2 separate regions of the Mus musculus genome follow, and region 2 is reported to be linked to region 1. Evidence: microRNA targets listed by miRTarBase, many of them from high-throughput screens and not tested one by one. Region 1 holds a microRNA gene; the other region holds the end of a gene's coding sequence.

Evidence for each region. Region 1 holds the annotated microRNA mmu-miR-9-5p (UCUUUGGUUAUCUAGCUGUAUGA, at 2,185-2,207, shown strand). A microRNA usually pairs through its seed, bases 2 to 8, with sites in the 3' UTR of a target mRNA and lowers its output. Matches are read on the target gene's strand: a 7mer-m8 pairs with bases 2 to 8, a 7mer-A1 pairs with bases 2 to 7 and ends in A, and an 8mer does both.
Region 2: the mRNA of Narf is a reported target of mmu-miR-9-5p. Seed matches in the 3' UTR shown: 7mer-A1 at 632-638.

Annotation. Positions count from the first base shown.
Region 1 is chr13:83,736,637-83,739,896 of GRCm38, forward strand. It overlaps Mir9-2 (microRNA 9-2), which reads left to right and starts at 2,178; the gene lies at 2,178-2,249. C130071C03Rik (RIKEN cDNA C130071C03 gene) reads left to right here. Exons shown (of 4, transcript NR_152245.1): 4 at 1,534-3,260. Gm51268 (predicted gene, 51268) reads right to left here and starts at 2,240; the gene lies at 2,185-2,240.
Region 2 is chr11:121,252,502-121,255,761 of GRCm38, forward strand. Narf (nuclear prelamin A recognition factor) reads left to right here. Exons shown (of 11, transcript NM_026272.3): 11 at 180-3,260. The coding sequence ends at 421. Among named protein-coding and RNA genes, the nearest start is that of Foxk2, 5.9 kb to the right of the region's middle.

The DNA of each region.
Region 1 (3,260 bases):
AACACAAACCAAACAAACAAACAAAAAAAACTTGTCAGTCTCTTCTTTACAGAGTTTAGATTTTAGGGCTCTGTATGTGATTAAATAACCAGGTTCTTATTTATGTGTTAAATGAATAAATTAGTGAATTACTGAGAAAAATTTTATTCCAAAAAAATTAATAAATCCAAAAGTATTTTAGCCACTGGGGAAAATAGACACATTATGGAATTGAGAGCATTGTGAGGCACAGGTGATGTGTGCAATGTACATTTAGAATTACTAATTCTCCTTTAGCATGTAACTTAAAGAAAAGCAACATTACTAAAAAATAATTAGTAATTTGAACAATAATCCATAATGTTTACCCACAGAGAACATGCTTCTTATGTAGATTACCATGAATATTTTGTTGAGAGGGATTTGAATGTTAGATATTAGATGTGCTAGACAGATTATCTATTATAAAGGATGAGAAAGAAAAGGATTCTTTGAAGTGATTTTAAAGTCACACTTTAAAAACTCCTAAGACAATGAATGAAGCTAATTAATTAATGAAATGACCTTCTGCTTCTCGATAGAAGGATATGAGTGGGTGGGGCCAGGGAGGTGTGGTAGCTTCCCTCCCTCCCCATCCAGGTGTTGGATCTACATGTTCAGGAGACAAGACTTTTATTTTAATTTTATAAGCAAGTCTAGTGCATTATTGTCCAGTGTGAAATTTATGTTAAAACAGTAGACAAAGGCTCAGCATTTTTGCTACAGCAGAGTTGTGTACAACATTGAAACTATTGCTGCAATGTTTACCTGTGCAGCATGCTAACCCCCACACACACTCTATATGCAAAGCATTTTTAAAAAAGAAGCCCCACTGTTTAGATCGTGCAGTTCGAACTTACAGAACAAATATGCTGCCCTATCGCCACGGTACACAGATAGAAAACATGACTGAGCTGTAAAGCCATTAAAAACATAACACCAAAGCAAATTGTCATTGTAACCATCGACTCACTGCGTAAAAACAGAGCTGATTCCCAGCCCCAGAAAGCGAGGCCCTGCTTTAAGCAATAGTAAAGTGCCTTCCATCTGCCTGCCTATGCAATCTGCCAGAAGAGAAATGCAGGCAAAGAAGTTCCCCAGACCTGAAATGCTTTTATCTATCCTTAGAGAGAGATTTTCTCCATTCTTTGGATATTAGAGCGATCTACACTAGCGCCAAGGAGGTAAAAGGCCGCGGGTTGCTTTTCAAGGAGCAGTCCGTAGTGCTAGTGGATGAAATGTTGATTGAGAATATAGGGACTGCTGCAAAGCTGCTGCTGCCGTCGCCGCCACCGCTGCCGCCGTCGCCGCCGCCGTCGCCTGTGCTACTCCTGGCAGCAGGCGTGGGGCAGTTGGGTGACCACTGATGCATATCAATAACCATGTACTTGAGATTTCTCATGACATCATCATTACCTTGGTCTCCCGCAGTCTCAAACCTTTGACCTTGCCGGGCTGGTCCACAATTTGGCGGTGAAAGCCCCTCCAATGATGGCCCTTTTCTCCTTCTTTCAGACCGGGGCAGCAGTACGCCAGCAAGAGGGCATGCTCTGCCCGCCTAGAAGTCCTAAGAAATCGAGGATCTCCCTTAAAACATTCACATACAAGATATGTGCAATCAAGCTGCCTGCACTTGGTAAAAAAGATCATGATGCCTAACCCAATGATCCGGAGCAGATCTTTGAATCAGCTGTCACTTCTATAGAATGGGATTTCCCCCTTCTTCCTCTTTAACCAGCGTTGGAAACTGCCGATGGCTTTATACATCTCAGTAGAGGAAGGCTAAAGAATCTTCCGTGAGAATGAAGCAATTTACAATGCAAATAGAGGCCTGTGAAGAGAAGGACACTGCTGCTCACCCCCAACAGCTTGCTGCACCTTAGTCTCTGGTCTTAATTTCTGATACTCATAGATGAATTGTTGGCTAACGATACTGGAGATTACTTGCTGGAAGGGGAAAAGTTTGGAATAAACTCTGAATGCAACAGATCTCATTTGGATGTTCTAGCCGCACACACTAAGACAGAAACCAGGTCATGTTTACATGAAAGGAGAAGCTTAAACGCGGCAAGTACCCCGGAGGACTACGCTTCCCTAAAGCCAAAGAGGATCGAGATCTGGAGTTCAGCCAGAGGAAGGCAGCCTTGTGAGGGAAGCGAGTTGTTATCTTTGGTTATCTAGCTGTATGAGTGTATTGGTCTTCATAAAGCTAGATAACCGAAAGTAAAAACTCCTTCAAGGTCACCGAGGAACGTTCCGGAAAGAAAGACTGCAACCAAGAGACAGTAAAAACCAGAAAGGTCAGGAATGCTTATTGAATCTAACTTTTTTTATCTTATGATTGAAAGTGGGATGCAAGAAAATTAAGTGACACGCATATTGAAATCTAAAGGGGCCAGGCTTTGAGGGGCTTGTACAACTGGAGAGGAGAATTGTGTAGTGTTTTTTACGGGTGACGATGCATGTATTTTCTATATTGTTCATTTTGAAGCAAACGTTTACATATGAGGTTTTTTTTTTCTTTTTTTTTCTTAGAAAGCTGTTATAGTGATGTCTGGTACCTCGCTTAAAAATGATTTCATAATTATGTAGATTTGGGCTGTTCCTATCTGAGGCCCCTCCCCCAAGTTTGAAGCTTGTGCCTGGAAACTTTCTATGTATTTGGGTGTGTACATCAAATTCTGTGAAGTTAGACTTTCAGTAAAGCTTATACTGGAAGGTTAATAATTTATATCTACCGAAGACTTAGAGCTAGCAGGGAAAAGGGGTGGGGGCAAAGGCTGATTTTTATTCTTCTATTCAAAATACAAGGACAGATGCTTCTCTGTTCCAAGAGGGTTTCCTTGAGGAAGCTACTGAAGCAGAAAGACATGATGGAGACGAGATCGCCTCCCCTCTTGTCAAAGTGTTAAAAAAATGTTCTGTCTTACTCTGCGCCTAGCATTGGAAATGAAAGTGACATTTACGCCACAACCCACGTGTGCGCCTCCTCTCTTTTTGTTTAAGGATGATCAGGTCTATCCAGGAAACAGCTCTGGCATCCCAAACTGAAATAATTAGGACGTATATAGACCTGACAAAAATGGAAAGGGGGTGGGGAATCTGAGGGTCTGTCTTGCCTAATTGATTCCGCTAAACGGAAAGCAGGAGATGTGAACGGCAGGACGCTCCGATTCCCACGCTCGGGGGCAAGTGGTAAAGCCTGGCCGGCAGCCTATGACAGACAGCCCTGTTGGGGGGTA
Region 2 (3,260 bases), not on the chromosome of region 1:
AACACCCAGGGCTCTTCTCCTGGGCAGGCTCCATGACAATACTGTGAGCCCCAGTACAATCTTAAGCCATTTAGTACTGCCTGCTTCATGCTTTTCCTGCTTCCAGCTATGTGCCCTGAGGTAAAGCTCCCATGACAGGCCAAGAGGGAAGAAGAGGTCCACTTGTGTGTATCTTTCAGGTTGCTTAAATGGCAGAGGCCAAGCACAGACAGAGGACGGCCACACAGATCGTGCACTGCTGCAGCAAATGGAAGGGATCTACTCCGGCATCCCTGTGCGGCCCCCAGAGAGCAGTACACATGTGCAGGAGTTGTACCAGGAGTGGCTGGAGGGTACTGAATCTCCCAAAGTCCAGGAGGTGCTGCACACCAGCTACCAGAGCTTGGAGCCCTGCACAGACGGCCTGGATATCAAGTGGTGACAAAGCCTGAAGGGCAGGAGGGGACAGCTCTGAGTGGAGAGTGGTGGGTGCTTCAAGGAACAACAGGTCCCTACAGCTTTGCCAGCGCTTCAGGACACAGTTTTCATGTGGTGCTATCTTTGTAGTGTGTGAGGGAGTGGAATGTTTGCACATGGGAGAGGTATTTTCCCTCTCTGCGTAGCCTTTCATCCCAAGATTGTGAGAAAGATCCCAAAGAGGCCAGGGACAGATCCCTGATTTGCAGGTTTAAAAAAAAAAATCAAGATGTGTTTTTAGAGAACCAAGACCCAGGGGTTGTGATCCACGAGCCTAAGATTATTGCTGCAGAAATGGAGGCATCAGGAAGGCCAGGCTGCTGTACAGTGGATAACTATGGCCTTCAGAGAGGCCCAGTCTTCTGGCCCAATTTGGCTCTTTCATTTGTATACATTTTTTTAAAAATAATTTTGAATTCTAGGGCCAGCAAGATGGCTTATTGGTACCACCATTAGTTTGATCCATGGAGCCCACATGGTGGAAGGAGAGACCAACGCCTACAAGCTATCCTCTGACTTTCACACAGGCACATGGCATGCATATGTACCACCGAGACCACACCCCGAAAATAACCGTAAAGAAAATTACACTAGTTTTAAGTCATAGTAACAGTGAGCCATATTTTTTATAGTCCTTGAAGGCCGGCAGTCATTACAGCCCTGGGCCACTGGTGTGCCTGAGTCATTCTTTTACTTGACCTGCCATCAGCGTTGAGCTGGACTCACCTCAGAAGAAAGGCTGCTGAGAATGGCATGCATCACACCCTGCATTTGATGCAATGTATATTTAAAAATAAACAAGTAGAGAATTAAGAGGGTGGCCCACCTAGGCTTTGGGGTTCTAAGGGTGGTGCAGCTCATAGTTACTGCTGTGGGGCCGGAAGACAGAGCTGAGGCTCCGTGGACCCTGGAATGGGTGAACCAGCTTTGTAATGTCCAGCCTCCTCTAAACTCCTCCCCAGTGCCTTTTCATACAAATAGGCCTGGAGCACCTCCTCTCCTCCACAAAGCCCACTGGTCTGGGATAGCATCCCTTCAGCCCTCACTATGCTAATGCGAGCATGCCTTAGGGGAAACAGTATGTCCACACACAGAAATAGCTGCCCGATGGTGAAATTCACAAAATCATGTGACACATACTAGATAGAGTCCACCCAGGAGATAAAGGGGTTTGATGAAGCCCCTGAATTTTGCTCAGTGTGTGACTGCCTTGACCCTTAGTACTGTCAGCTCTATCACAGTCCCACATGCCTCATGTCTTGGTCTTCCTGTGAGTCTGTCTAGGAGTGTAACTGGATATGTTATTGTAAACCAGTGGTTCTCAACTTGTGGGCTGTGTCCCCACAAAGGGGTCACATATCAGATATTTACATTATAATTCATAACAGTAGCAATACTACAGTTATGAAGTAGCAACAGAATAATTTTATAATTGTTGGGGGGGTCACCAGAACAGAAGAAACTATTAAAGGGTCACAGCATAGGAAGGTTGAGAACCACTACTATAAATTATGATTTTTTTTTTTTTTTTGCTTTCAGTCTATATGCCTTGGGTATCCATCCCCAAAGTAACTGGTTATGGAATAAACAATGCAATGGGGTCTTGAGTGTGGCATTGAAGGAGTCAGCTGTTCTCCTGTCCTGGACTACACCCCGCAGTCCGCCTCCCTCACCAGGCCCCAGCCTGGGTGATGATACCTTTTTCCCAGTCCCTCTCTAATAGGTCAGGAGAAGGTTCAGAACACGGGGAGTCAGCGTGGGAAGGGACTGACTTCCTGCAAACTTCATGGCACCACCCATGATAGCAACATAGGCTAGGGGCTAAGATGTGAGATCTATGACCTTCTGTTTCACTGATGCTAGGCCGTGGCCCTGTGAGCTTTTCAAGACTACAGGTGCCTTTCTGTCCCAGCACTTGGAGCCAGAGGCAGGTGGATCTCTGTGAATTAGAGGCTAGTCTAGGTTACAGAGTGAGTTCCAGGACAGTCAGGAATACATAGAGCAACCCTGCCTTATCCCCCAACTCCCTCCCCCCTAAAAACAAAGCCCAAAGCAATGGAAGTATGAAGTGAGCAAGTTCTTGACAGACAGGACCCAGTCAAAGCATCACGACAGTCAGAGTGGACAACGTACGCTGGTGCAGGCATGAGGGGCATAACCCAAGCTCCTATCTGCCCAGTGCTCTGTTGTACCATGCTTCTGCTCTGCTTGGGCAGAGGCCCAATCTTAGTTTGATTCCTACCTGGCCCGAGCTGTATGGGTTTGCACTACTGTGGGTAACCGTGCTTCTACATGATGAGATTCTGTCTCAAAGACTAAATTTGGTTTCTGTTACAGGTAATTTAGAAATAGTTCTGTCAGGGCTTGTGCCATAGTTCAGGAGCAGGGCGTGTGCCTAGCATCCATGGGCACCACATTCGTTCTCAAGATCCACAGTAGCAGAAAGTGACAGGGAGGATTGCTGCATTCTTTAGTACGTTGTTTGGACTGCTGTTAAGATCTGACTCAGTGTGTGCCTTACCCATTACTGGTCGACATGTGGGCTTCCCAGGTGCATCACAGGTGAGCCAACCACAGGGTTTGGGGTTGCAGCTGGCAGCTAGGCTGCAGGCGCTGCCCTGGGTACACCACTCACCTGAGGGGCACAGCTGGCCGGAAGGGTAATCAGGAAGTGTGGCTCCTTTTCCACTTGGCATATTACATATGGGGCTCCCTCCTGCATCTAGAGATGGGAAACTGCCTGAAGAACTTACTCTGGTTTACCATTTGAGAGAGTGCAGTCATTTATGTCAGAGAAGACACCT